Linked DNA regions of Lepisosteus oculatus. The protein of the gene in region 1 binds, or shares a complex with, the protein of each later gene. Links are inferred from orthologs where the notes say so. Each region holds a gene or a part of one and is shown on either strand. Other genes may lie near its edges.

Region 1 (7,735 bases):
CGTTTCCCGCCTCGCACTCCAGCTCCCCTGCGACCCTGTCCTGGATAAAGGGCTTAGAAAATGCTGGAGGATAAGAAGCCAAGGACAGAAAGGCATTAAGACAGGAACTGCTCTCCAGCTGCGGACAGGTGCCTGGGAAACCTGAGGCAGAAGATTTTGTGGCCAATACCAAAAGCAAATTAAGACGACATCTCTGTGGAACAAACAATGAAAAAACATCGGAAGGAAACCAACAGTGAAAGAGCTCAGTTTGAGAATGACCTCATGATTTTTTCCCACTGCTTTCCATACCTCCAACATGGCCACGAGCTCCGATTTGGAAATTCCCATTCTGTCCCGGTCGCTGCTGTCGACTACATAAATCACTGCATCCGTGTTGGAGTAGTAACAGCGCCAGTACGGTCTGAGGACAGATGACAGCCAACAAGAATGAGTAAACACCAAATCCACCCAATTCAAGCCATTCTGCTGGAGAAAAAACTCATTACAGTGACCTGTGGTGGACTTTGTTGTAAGACACAGTCAGCAGAAGACTTCTGTCTCTCCAAAACCTCTCTTTTGCATGCCTGCGACTGTTGATTGCATTTTGAGAACTCCCGCTCTCACACAACTAATACACTTTCCATGTAAAATTCAAAAATGTATGATGAACATTTTTATACGAACAAGTAATAGGTTTATTCCATGCTGAAAAAAAGAAGAAAGAGAACACAACGTTTCGGCCGTGGAGCCTGAGGAAGACACCTGAAGAAGGCTCCACGGCCGAAACGTTATGTTCTCTTTCTTCTTTTTTTCAGCATGGAATAAACCTATTACTTGTTCCTTTGCAGCCTACGCATGCTGATGCAGCTACCCACGTGAATTTTTATATGAATATGCTGTACATCGAGGAGTGGTTTTAAGTCTTTAATTTGTACAATACATGTCCCCTCAGCATCTTCCACAAGTTTAAAAACATTAATCTCCAAGATTGTAGGTGATGCCTAACATAGAATGAGCATTTTCTTTCTCCTGTACGGGTGCCAAAATCAAAAGTAACTTACCTTATACTTGTCTGTCCTCCAAGGTCCCAGACTTGGAATTTAAGGTTCTTATACGTTACTGTTTCGACATTGAAACCAATAGCTAGTAAAAGAAAAATTGAATCAAAAATGTGCAGTTATTTCAGCTGCGCAGACAGGCAGAACAAAGCTATTAACACCGGGGCGGAGCGGCTCAGGATCTGCGCCTGTGGCTGGAAGGTTGCTGGTTCAAATCCCAAAGCCGGCAGAGGAATCCTACTCCATTGGGCCCCTGAGCGAGGCCCTTTACCCCAACTGCTCCAGGGGCGCCGTATAAATGGCTGACCCTGCGCTCTGACCCCAAGCTTCTCTCCCTGTCTGTGTGTCTCATGTAGAGCAAGCTAATTCCTAATGCAAGATACTGCATATGGCCAATAAAGTGATCTTATCTTAGCTCTTATCTATCACAAATAGCAGATGATTTGTAATAGATAAGAAGCCTGAAGAGCTTCAAGAAACGTTGTGTTTTCTTTCTTCTCTTTTCAGCAGGGAATAAACCTATTACTTGTTCCACTGCTCTGATCATTTGTATAACTGTATATTTGTGTGCATGGCATGATCTAGTGAACAAAATTGTTCATTCTGAAACTGAATGGGCAGAAACTAACACTGACTATACAGTGTGTGTACGGTGATGAGGAAAAGCTTGTGTGGCTGCTACTGTGCCAGGAGCCCCATGACACTGCAATCTTCCTCGGACTGCAGTAAACCTTTCCTCCGAGGCACAACAAGCAGACAGGCGGCTCGGCTACTCACTGGGAATCGTTGTCACCACCTCTCCCACTTGCAGCCTGTACAGGATAGTCGTCTTCCCAGCTCCGTCCAGCCCCAGGATCAAGATCCTCATCTCCCTGGTCCCAAACAGGCTGGAAAACAGGCTGGAGAAGAAGCCACCTTCAGCAAGAGGGAGAGAGGAAATCGATCAGGTTGATTAATGTTGAAAGGAAATCAATCACCACATGCTCCTCTCAGCACCATTTGTTTTCTTTGGGCAGCACAGTGTATTTTCAGATCTGTTCCCCCCCCCACCTGAGGCGGATTTCAGCTCCTGAGTTTTTTTATTTTCCACTCCACAAAAACAAAACAACCGCCTCTCAGACAACAATAAGGGAAGACTGTCCAGAGAAGGCGAGTTTTAGGATAACACACACAAATCAGATTTTCTCATCGTTTTCCCCACTAGTCCAACACTTGACAATCAGCTTCATTTGCAAGGATGGAGGTTGTTCCGTCTGACAACGATTTCGGTATTAACTCACAGTCAACACCCACATTTTCAGTAAACTGTAATACAAATATTAGTCCCACACAGTCAGCCATAGTTTCCTAGTCTTCTAAGAGATCCTTTCAGTAAAAAAAAAAACATATCGTGATCTCTGCTAATCTTTTTAATCACGTACAAATCGGCATTAATCCGAAACAATTACAGATATTGTATTTCTACAATAACAAAATGTTTTTAGACGCTCTTAAATTTACCATTACAACACGAAACAATACAAAATCGTCTCTAGGATGAACTATGTAGGTGCCTCATCAGCTGTTTTGCTACTGTTTTTTAAATCATTTATTTGAACTTAGAAATAAGAACGTTTAAACAGCTTAAAGTAAAGCTGCTGTTGCACTGCAATTTCCCTCACGGGATCAATAAAGTATCTATCTGTTTATTTACTGCTTTAATCTACCTTACTCATATATCAAAACCTGTAGGAGTAACCAACGTGCATCTGGTGTTAATACTACGGTACAGTGTCAGTCCTATCCTTACACCTGAAAACTAATTTGACCCACAGACCCCAGGAACCGCCGCATTCTTCTGAACCTGTCGAAGGAGTAACGATTTTAAGTGGCCCTTCCCAAGCAACAGACTAACCCTCACTGAATATGAATCGATCAGCAGTCGACCATTTCGTTTCCTGGTAACTGAAAAACGCACACATCCGTTACTCGGCACAACGTTCATTCGGTGGATCTAACCTTACTGCACGCATCCCGTTTCAATTTGCGATTGGAGAGTTATCTGACAGCTTACCCATGTCTTGTTTGCTGTAGGTTTGTATTTCCAGCTGCTGTTGTGATGCTCCTGTCCAGCAGTGCCCTGCAGACAGTGACGTGTCACTGACCTGCAACACAGCTATCTAACGCTTAAGGAGACCAGATTCGACAAATGCATGAACCTGTTCCTCAAAATACGATGTTCTTAAAACAGGTTTAAATACTCTACGGTAGACGCAAGTTGTATTCCTTAGTTATTATGTTTCTGACTATGCATAGGCGTGTGTATTTTTTTTTGTATTATTGAAAGATATTTGAAGGAAAGTGCTGCTCATTGTAAGGTTTACACTCACTTCCGTAAACGCATGGCAAAATGACAAGTACCTCGGACACGTGATCAAGACCATGCAACCAGAAATAAGTATCAGAAGTACCGCACCTGCTTGTATTTAAACAAAGTCCTTTTACAATTTTGCTACAGTAAAGTTACATTTTGTGCACATATTTTCACTTATTTGAAATCATACTGTTCAGTTCGACACAGTCTTACTGGGTGTATCTAATCTTGTTGATTAAATATATAAGAAAACAGCGTTTTCAGATATCCACAGCACATATTTTTGTACAAAGTAGACTTTGTAGAAATATCCTCGTTTGTACAATGCCATGTCTGGTATGATATAGCATTTCATCAACTAGAATTAAGTAGCAGTTCAACTCCTGCAAGCTAAATTGACTTAATAAATTTAAACATGTTGAACTACAACTTAGAAATTATTGGTAAAAATCTATTAAAAATTAAAAATGACCTAAAAATAAATGAGAAACCACTCATCCAGTTCTGTTGTCCATCTCTGATTTTTTCTTCTTGTTATTCTAGTTACTTTTCCCCATTTCAGTGATGTCTGTGATCTGTGGCATCTAACGTTACTTTTAAATCATTTAACCTTCTGTACTAAATACAAATATGCTTTTCTGTTATTATTACTTGTGCACTACATTTCAACTTCTTCTAAAAGCAAAACTCATAAATCATGTATTTGTCACGTACTGTATACAGTATATTCTATATTATTACATGAACATATATACTGTATTTATTAGACAAATAATAATTCCATACACTTATATAGCGCTTTTCAGGTAATGAGGTATTTTTGGTACAATAATTTGTCCTTCATAACCAAACCATATCACTCAAACTACATTAGACATCCTTTGTGTGGTGGTATTTGCAGACTGACAAGGCTTCTCTGTGAGTCACAGAAGAAAACTTTCCTGTTGGAAACTTTCTTCAGATATTGTTACTAATGTTTGGTCAGAATGGAGTTACACTACACAATAGTCAGGCTGTTATTATTATTATTATTATTATTAATAATTATTATTATTATTATTATTATTATTATTATTATTATTATTATTATTATTATTATTATTATTATTATGGTCTCAGAGATTTTGAATTTTACTAACTACATGGTTTCAGCAGTTACAGTACCTTTCCTTAAACTTACAGTATGTTCCTAAGGAAGCATCAAGTACCTTTTATATACAATAACTTCCCACAGTGGACATTTGATTAAAAAAGATCAAGTTCTGCATGCTTTCCTCATTTCAGCTGTATAAAGGAAAATTGATACCTATTCAGCTACATAACACTTACACTCTATCACAGTCCTTGTGAAATGAGAGGATTCATCTGTTTTATTTTCTTTTTTGGGGTTTAAGGGCTAGTTGTGAAGGTAAGACATATATTTTACATTTCCTTTTAAAGTTGTAAATTCTTCACATTACAGTTTCAGCCTTGAGGTTGCTGTCCACACGCTCTGCTCTCACAGACTAGAGATTCAGAGCGATGGTTTGTGAGAAAGTCAGCAGTCAGCCTGGTGCCTCTTGAACTGGAAAGAGAAGACTGAGGCATGAAAGATGAAAATCGCTTGACATGTGCCAGATGTGTCCATGTGTGAAAATGATATTGTTGGGGAAAAATGTTAATAAAGACAAATCGAGATAGGAAAAATATAGATTATTTTATCTTTTGTTCTGTAATCTTGTGAACAAACAAGCAGTCCAAAACATTACAGTTTTATATTAATGAGTAATAATAATGAACTGTATTTTATACAGTATAATATTTAAAGAAAAGCAACCATCTCACACTTTTCATGCTGATTGAACACAATCAGTACTGACAATTCTGTAGATGATCTGTTACCCTTTATTTTTTAGGTATTCACCAGACTACCAAAATGATTATAACCATCTTTTTTTTATTTCAGTTTTCTTACACTGTATATGTGTGTCCCGCGATGGACTGGCGTCTTGTCCAGGGTGTGTGAGTGTGTGTGTCCCGCAATGGACTGGCGTCTTATCCAGGGTGTGTGAGTGTGTGTGTGTCCCGCGATGGACTGGTGACCTGTCCAGGGTGTGTGAGAGTGTGTGTCCTGTGATGGACTGGCATTCTGTCCAGGGTGTACCCTGCCTCGTGCCCACTGCTTGCCAGGACAGGCTCTGGCTCCCCCGTGACTCTGTACAGGATAAAACAGTCAAAAAATGGATGGATATTTTTTCACAAAACTTGTCGATACTGATGTGAGCACAAATATTGCTTCATACTGCTAGAAGTTCAGAAGAAGTTATATTTTGTCCTCAATTATTTTTACTTATCACAATGTCAGTAGCCGGGTGAATCCTTTTTATTATTGCTTTCGTCAAATGTTGTAACAGTTTTCAAAGATTTTGATTTATGAATATTAATACATATATGGCCTTTAACTTAAAAAAAAACATACACTGCCCTAAAGAGTTACAGCAAGAATATTGGAACCTTAATTTTAGGTTTATTTGTTATTGGGTATTCAATTCTAAAATACAAATGTGAACTGCTTATGCTTTGGTCTCAAAACATGATTTTAAACACGCTCACTGTGCTCTTCTTAGTGTTCATTCTCTCTCCTCCTGTGACAGATTTGAAGAGATTCATGTTTACACAGAACATAAGAACCTAAGAGAGCTTACAAATAAGTAAAGGCCATCAAGCCCGGCTGTCCTGTCTGGTAGTTTGTATTGAATAAGATCCAAAGATCTCATTCAGCTATTTGTTGAGAGAAGCCACGGTACCTGCTTCAATAACAAAGTTGGGTAGCTTGCTCCACACTCCCACAACACTTAGGGTAAAGGAGTGCTCTCAGTATTGACTACACTTCCACACAGTTGTCGCTTGTGTCCTCTGGTTCATGTTTCCCACAGCAGTGGAGAAGAATCTGAACACACACAAAACAATTCTCCTTAGCTCCTCTTCTGAATTTTCTGAGAATAAGTTATGCTTGCCATCCAAAGAGCAAACCTACAGTACCAACAGGGAAACAAAATTTGTGAACAGTTATTTTAAAGAATTACTGTTTTCCCTGAGGCTATTTTGAACTGTTACTGAGGAAGAAACTGTTTCATTGATTGTAGTTCCCCAGTGCCAAATCCAATAATTTTTCAAATGCGCATTTTAAAACAGAAAGCAAGTTTTCTATTTAAATTTTATAGATGAAAGCTAATTGCCGAGCTCAACTTCTTAAATGCATAAAATGTTGAAATACATGTTTCATGAGGCTTTTTTTTTACAAGAGCCACCCACAATAACATTTGAGGCGCGAGAGCACCAGGATTAAATATGGAGGGGCAGGATTGGGGGCAGGTGCTCGTAATTAGCAAAATAAGAAAGAACCGGAGCGCCCTTAAGAGGAGGGATCACAATCGTGACAAGAACTGCCCCTTGCTGTCTGTATGAAACCTAGCTCACTCAGTAGTTTAAACTAAGTGTAAAGTACTATGAAGAGGAATGCATGAAGATACTCTCACATTTTTATTAAAGCTATAGTTTTTAAAATCTTTTAAATAATGATTTATTATTATTTAATTTATTCATGCTCCTACACAAATCCTCCAGTTGAGAGTCTGCAATAAAGGACCCAAAGAATCTAAAAGCTTCCCAGCTCAAGGCCAAATATATCTATAGATTTTGCCTAAGCTATTTGAATCAAATGGCTTTTTTAATTCCTTTTTGGGAACATATCTATAGCAAACAAATTACGCCTAGGGATGTTTTTTTGCATCAAGAAATGATGTTCTGTCTGTACAACTGAAACACATTTTGGAGTACTTTCACAATGCTTTTCTGTTTTGATTAATCCAAACATTTCTGGCTCCAACATGCCAAACAATATGGTCTTTAACATCATCCCTGAAGACATGGTCTTCCCTCTTTGTATTAATATTACTGGATAGAACACTGAATTGAATACATACAGTATTGTAACACATACGGGCAACATTAGGTTGTGCGAGCTGGCTTACCAGCGCGGTGATGCACCGCCTTTCCCTGTGAATAGCAGGGACCGCAGCTGCCAGGCTGAGGGGAGATCTACCTTTAGCTCAGCTGGCTGGGTCCCTATTGAGTGATGCCGGGGTCCCGGGTTCAAGCCCCCAGTGGTGGAGGGCTGACCTGAGATGGCAGCAGTGAGGGCACATACCCATGTGAACCTGAAAGTGCTACAATACTTTATCATAAAATCAGACTCATCTGATTTCTATCTTTGTTATGGTTGTGCACGTAGGTAATAAGGAATTAAAAAAAGATTTGATTCATAGATAAACACTTCTGTGTTTCCTTTTGGTATTGCTGT
Region 2 (7,088 bases), on another chromosome or scaffold:
ACTTGAAATCCCCCAGCAGTTTTAAAGTTCTCAAAGATCTGAAGATTCCCCTGTAGATTCACAGACCTATGACATACATATTACATTATGTGCTGGAGGTTTAAAATAAAGTTGCCTGAGTCTGTGATCTTTGAAATCGCCTGCTCAACACATCAGGAGACATAGGAGGTTGCTGCAAGAGGGTCACTGACTCCTCTTACACCAGCAAATTTAAACTCCCATTCATTTTACCTCTAGGTAACCCCACCCCCACCCCCTACACTCATTTCTCATGAAGCACTAATAATGATTAAATACTGGGCACAAAGAAGTCTTTAAGTGACCTGATCAATGAAGAGTGACAATGTACCCCAGCAGGTTTGTGCCTTCAGTTCTCAAATATGAAACACCACAAGGCACAACTGCCTGAAGCAAAACTGTAACTACTGTAAACCTATCGTTGTGCTTTTACTTGCAAATGTTAGTGTCAAACAAACAACTAGGCGCTGTATCCTGAATTCAACATGAACGAACCTACAGTATGTAGTTATAACTTACAGTATGACGAAAAAGTACACCCCTTAAAATGTCATGGTTTAACATATTTAGACATACAGTATATGACCTTCATATAGGTCTAAGTCCTAACATAGATAGAACTATAAAAATATTATTATTATTAACTATTATAGTTATATTCTTTTTTAATATGAAAAACATCACAAAAACACTTATGTTTCTATTTAGTATTAGGCAGGAAACTTGGAAAAATAAATAAGGTCAAAGTTGATATAATCAAATAACTGGCAACTTGTGACAGTAAATGCTTTCAACTATAATGGTTGTTCAGTGTTTCAAATACCTAGGAACAGTAATAGATGAACATTTAAACTTTGTATTAAATACTAATTGCATTTTTAAGAAATTGAAAGGGTTTTAGTTGAGTCAAAATGTTTTAGAGAGGATTTATAAAATGTTAGTAGAAAGCATCCTTACTTTTGTTATCACAGTGTGGTATGGCAGCCTGAGCATTAAGAGTAAAGAGAAACTGGACAGAATTGTTAATATTGCTAGTAAAATAACTGGTCAACCACAGAAACAGTTTTAAGAGCTTTATTATACTGCTGTTCAAAGGAAAGTTCAGCTAATCATTGATGACCCCTCCCATCCTCTTTATTCCATTTCCAACTGCTACCTTCAGGAAGGTGTTTTAGAGTGCCTATGGCCAAGTAAAAATGTATAATGTATAGCCACAGTAGTTTCAAATTAACACACAGTGGTGTGGATCTGAGAAATGTGCTCTGAGAAAAAGTTTCAATAAACAAGTACAAAATAAGCCTACACTGACCAGAGTGGGTTATGTACAGTAAGTATTCAAATCACTGAAGGAAAGAGAAATCAAAGACATTGATAACTGCTGAAGAAGGAGAAAACGGGCAGGTACTGTATGAATACTGCATAGGTAAGCAAGTCAAAAGTATAAATTCACCTTCAATCACTAGATGGGTATGAATTTATACTGTATCATTTCAGTGGTACCATCAACACAAAAAAAATCCAGTTTGGGACTTTATAGTCACTTAATTCACCGGCGTCACCGTCAAAACCGGTCTTCGGGCAGCAAATGTAACATGCAAAGCCATCCCAGTTGAAGGCCACATCACCACATAATTACCAGTGCTTTTGGTAAGTCTCTATACAGGAAACGCAAACACACTTCACGTACACTGTATAAACTACCTGGTTCATAGAACATGAGATACGAAAATTAATAAGCTTGGTTATAATATATAACTTATATCAACAAGCGCCGCCCGATCTGTGCAGCACATGGTGTCCTAATTTTTCAGGTGCAACTAGCAACCTCTCAGGACTGACTAAATTATTTCAACAGATAACTTGCAGTGCAAGCACGAAGAAGGAGTTTCTCACACTGTCAACACCAAAAACGCCAACACACCAACGCCACAAAAGCACAACAGGCCTCGGACGACAGCCACTCAATAGGCAGGCGCACATTTGTAACTCGACACGAGATGCGAGTGACCGGTGAAATTCAAGAATTCAACAAGCCTTCAAAGTATAGTGCTTGTTTTACCAGCATTATGCATTCTAAGTGCTATCAAGTCTGAGCTAATAAAAAGAAAACGCTTGTGCATACAAGAAATACCTAAGTCCTTTGTGCTCTGAAACAGCTGTCACTCGTCGATTTGTTTTTCGATGCGAAATTAGTATATATTTGCACAACAAGAACGCTTTGTCCGTTGTCACCTTGCTCAGCGGATACCACGGCTCCAGTAAGTGCAACTGCAGGTGGATAACAGAAACAAAACCGAGCCGGGCGTGAAAAAATCATGTAGCAACCATGGTACCTTGCGATTTAAATCCACCATACAGTTTCTCTCAATGAAGCATTAAACAGAGCTGTACAGTTACAGGGAATTTAACGTAACGGACGAGCGCCCAGTGCCGTCCTACATATGCATACTGCAGCGCAAAGGAGACAAAATATGTGAATTTTGTTCTGGGAACTCAACCTGAATTCATGTCTTTCTGCTACCACAACGATCCAGTTTAACTAGGGTCACAATTCCAGGTTTCGGTGTCAGTCTGGAGAGGCCCACAAAAAAAGCCGATGTGCAAGTAGCACCTTTATATGTGCAATACCTTTATATGTTACTGCAACCTCTTTAATGTGTCAAATCGTCCAAGACCTGCATTGCCAACATGCTCAGTGCAGCTTGTAAAAAATCAGATGAGCTATATATATATAAAGTAATGCTATTCTTACCAGTGTGTGAATCCGTCTTCTGAATTAGACGGCAAGCTGGTGGAAGCCAATTGTTTCCGGCTGTTTTCCTCAACGCGGCGATAATAGAAAAGGTACAAAAGTACCTGTTAATAATTAGTATCTTGTTATATATTGTTTTATTGCATGACTGGCCAGCTGCCCCCCCCTCTCCACCTCCGACTTCTTGTTGCTGTTATTCGCCCCCCTTCTGCCTGAAGACACCGAGCGGAACTGACGACACCAGCCGACCTGATTCCATTCACCCCTCCCTCACGGAGGAATATTGACAGCGTGGAAGAACCACAGCTCTCGCGAGGCTGCGGGCTCGCTCCTCGAAGCAAGTTGGCTGCCATGTTGGTGAAGGATGCATAGTAATATAATCTACATTAAAGCAACGCATAACGCTAATTTAGAAACATAATTTCAATAACTGCTTATCCAAATCAGGGTCACGGACGTTCTTTATAAAGTAAAAAAAAATAACTTATTTTTTTTTCTTGTGCATGTCGAAAATTATTCTTTTGTTAATGTTTTGACGGATTTTAAAATTCAACTAAAAAAAAGATCTGAATAAAAACAAGTTAGGGGCACATTATGTGCTTTAAACGAGTATAATATTTAAAGACTCAAGCACAATGGTATTTTGAAAATGTAGTCTATAAACATGCAAAAGCTGGCATTTCATTGATAACACTTAGAAATAAAGCATTCAAGTTTCTTAAGTGTTTTATCCTCTGCATTGTTCATCTTATTGACGTCTTTAACATTAACACAAATTCGGGTGATATAAATGAAATGAACAGAGGTGCGGGAGCGCAATTGTTATTTATCTGCTTGTGGTTGTTCTGCTATTTCTGTTTTACCGGCCACTTCAGCCTTTAAAAAATTAACCAGACTGTAAACTCGTTTTAAATACTGTATCTTGGACCATTCCTTTCAATAAAATCATTCTTAATGGGGTGAACAATTAATAATATACCCACATAAGTGGAAATGGGAAATAAAAAACACTCCCACGATGTGTATTTGATTTTTGTTCTTTCGCCTAACTCCAATAAGTTAAATTTCAGTTAACACATGGTGTCAAGTTCATTTCCTGATTTCTTAGTCCTAGTGTTTTCGTTCTCCCTACGTTCTCGGGCATATACGTGGTCTAATTACAGTACATGTAATGAAATTCTGAGGTTCAAAACTCCCTTGATTCAGATATGCGAGATCAGGGCTCTTAAATTCCAGTTTCTGGAGGGTCTTGTGCCTTCTAGTTGACCCTAGTAGTCAATTAACCTATTAACAATGTACCCGGTTTCTAAATTAGACACACGTGATATTGTTCTTAAGGTCATTATAGTTAATTATATTACATTCGCTTCAGTATATTTACCTTGAAAACGTAGAGAGCATGGTTAGAAGTATGATTATGCAGATGTCAAATCAACGTACTAATTAAAATCCCAATCAGAAGTTAAAAGCAATCTAAATAAATATAACTTAAAAATCCAAATTAAGGCTGTGGTTAGGAACTTAGCTAGAACAAAAACCAGCACACATCAAAGAGGTCCCCTGGGAACAGGAGCTTCGTTATTACTTCAGATGCGTAATTTTGTATTAGCTTACGGCCAGCAGGTGTCACTACAATTCAAGAATTGAGAAATGTTCAGATTTTGGAGAACTGGATTGTTAAATCTAACCCATTACCCAGTTTCTTTACGTGATAAATTTGCGATTGTGCTGACTGCTAATGCAGATCTACATCTACAGGTAACTGTACCACAGAGTGGTACAACACAAGGCCATCCTGTTCCATATGATAGTGGTTTTGTTAGAAGAACCTTGCTTGGGGTTTTTTGACAAAACTGTCAGCGTTGATGTGATCAATTCATTAAGTTACTGATAGTTTGTGCACGGCGACACACCAAATTCCATGCACATACAGTACGCACAAATCTGGCCACGCTGTTGTAGTAGCAACATTGGTATTGCCTAAAGAACATTAAAGGAAATGCAAATCTTCTCCAACATGATACTGAATTAAAATGTTAAAGCATATTCTTGGGTGAAAAATAATTATTCTAGAATATTTTTTTAGTAAGCAGCCATATCACCCTGCAACTCACAACTGGCAACGCACTGAAACTAAGCAGGTGTGAGCCTGGTCGGTACCTTGATGGGAGACCTCCTGGGAACAACTAGTGGGGCAAGTAGGGGGTGCTCACCATGTGGTCTATGTGAGTCCTAATGCCTCAGTATAGTGACGGATACTACTGTACTTTGTAAACAGGCGCCGTCCTTCAGATGAGATGTAAAACTGAGGTCCTGACTCTCTGTGGTCATTAAAAATCCCAGGGTGTTTCTCTAAAAGAGTAGGGGTGTAACCCTGGTGTCCTGGCTAAATTTCCCATTGGCCCTTACCAATCATGGCCTCCTAATAATCCCCATCTTTGAATTGACTTGATTACTCTGTGCTCCTCCCCACTGATAGCTGATGTGTGGTGAGCATTCTGGCGCACTATGGCTGCCGTTGCATCATCCAGGTGAGGGGGATACACATTGGTGGTGGTGGAGGGGAGTCCTCATTACCTGTAAAGCACTTTGAGTGCAGTGTCCAGAAAAGCGCTATATAAGTGTAAGCAATTATTAAGTATTATTATGGAATATATATTTTTCAATTATTTACTTTACAGTATGGTGGACTGTAAAGAAAAGAAGAAAAGAAACCTTCATACAATGTCTTCTGAGCATATACTGTACAGTATCCTGCAGTTTCTGGACATTAACTTACCTACTAAATTTCGCTCTAACATCAGTATGATATGAAAGTTGAAGTGATTTGCTTGGGCTGTATGGTGGGTAGTCTGACACAGGGTGGAAAGGTGCAGTGTATGAAGTACTGTATGAAGATAAAGAGTGTTCACCAACGTTCTCTGATATCATCCCAACACACTCCAGATTGACTATGCTGATGCTATAATATTGTAATTTTCATAGTGTCAGTTATTTACTAGTCTTCAGGAAAATGTTGAGAGATTTTTTACGCTTCTGTATTTTATCACTAGTAAAAATGTCCAAAAATCTTGATGTAAGCAAGTTCATTATTATGAACAGTTGATTAAGACTTCCTGGAGTCTCTTTTGCTTAGGTATTTTTGACTGTATTCTCCAAAAGAAGTTCCAAATTTTGGAATATCACTGTTGTAAATCTTTTCTAAATAGTAAAGGATATTTTAATGTTAATGTTTCTGTTTTTTTTTGCTATATTCTGTAAGATTAAAGTGTCCTTGAATAATAGAACACACAATCTTAATTTAAGATCACAATGACATTTCTTTAAAAACAATAAGGAATAGGGATGTTGTTTTTTTACTTTTCATCAAATGAGATCCTTATTTGTATTTTTCCACATTTATGCCTTTGCTGCTTAACTATCCCCCCAAATTATTCACTTTTTAGTCTCTCAAAAATGTTTTTAGATAAAGGGCTGTAGCTGTAAAACAGAATGGGATTCGATTAAGATCGTACTAGAGTTTATTATTGTTATTATTAAACCCATATCAAATGTATTCTTGTTCTAAAGTTTTTGCAAGTTTCATTTTTAGATTTGATACAGTACCAGATTATTAAATCTATCAAAACATTATGAAATCACTCAGATAACTGGTGTTGATAAGGTTCTATAGTGGGACCAAAAATAGGTAATTAAATACAGTATAAATACTATGCATTACAAACTATCATTTTTTTATTGAAAAGCAGCTGGTAGAATCAGTTTTCATGCCAATTAAGGGAAGAAAAGCTTAATCAGTCTAGATCAAAATAATGTAATCAAATAATCTAATCTTGTAGTCTCTAGTCTCTATTATTTGTTCTTGAATTATATTTGAAGAGGGAAATAGATGTGTGGACTGATGCATTAAACAGAATGAGATGGTGAGGTGAGACTATAAGTACAGTAATTGTTTTTGTCAGGCCAAATCCTTTATTTTTAAGTATTTTTCAGTGAAGTTTTTTTAAGCTTAAATGAAAATAAAATTCAAATTGGTTCCCCCCAGACAACAGATATTTTAAAATGTCACTATGTTTTATGACTGTGTAGCTTAAAAGGTATCAGTGGCACTTATTTCTAATCTCAAAAAATAGCCTCACCCAAAAATCGGTGAGTCCTGTTTTTGCTTGTGGCAGCTTTTTTTCTTAACCCAGCTGAAATTCATTAAAAATGATTCACAGGCCATTTCCTTTACTTCAACTTGTCCTTCATTGAAGTGTTAATATTACTTTGTACACAAGTGATTTATTTTTCAAAGCAAGCCCCAACTGTCTAGGGG

Evidence for each region.
Region 2: the proteins of arl1 (region 1) and arfip2b are in contact, whole or in part, in a crystal structure (PDB 4DCN), measured with the Homo sapiens proteins. The link is inferred for Lepisosteus oculatus from reciprocal best matches to the Homo sapiens genes ARL1 and ARFIP2. Residues at the interface, in NP_001168.1 of Homo sapiens: Glu17, Arg19, Gln38, Ile46, Ile49, Gly50, Phe51, Asn52, Val53, Glu54, Thr55, Gln64, Trp66, Ile74, Tyr77, Cys80, Tyr81; in NP_001363487.1 of Homo sapiens: Phe205, Thr212, Lys216, Thr217, Asp220, Asp278, Ile281, Lys282, Phe285, Leu286, Glu288, Asn289, Lys292.

The regions. Positions count from the first base shown.
Region 1 is NC_090702.1:54,564,268-54,572,002, forward strand, and holds the start of arl1 (ADP-ribosylation factor-like protein 1), read right to left. Parts: upstream 3,202-7,735; 5' UTR 3,098-3,201; coding exon 3,094-3,097; intron 1,956-3,093; coding exon 1,818-1,955; intron 1,126-1,817; coding exon 1,044-1,125; intron 404-1,043; coding exon 292-403; intron 1-291. UniProt on the Homo sapiens protein: GTP-binding protein that recruits several effectors, such as golgins, arfaptins and Arf-GEFs to the trans-Golgi network, and modulates their functions at the Golgi complex.
Region 2 is NC_090700.1:16,365,670-16,372,757, forward strand, and holds the start of arfip2b (arfaptin-2b), read right to left. Parts: upstream 3,007-7,088; 5' UTR 2,771-3,006; intron 1-2,770. UniProt on the Homo sapiens protein: Plays a role in constitutive metalloproteinase (MMP) secretion from the trans Golgi network. May have important functions during vesicle biogenesis at certain cargo subdomains, which could be predominantly utilized by secreted MMPs, such as MMP7 and MMP2.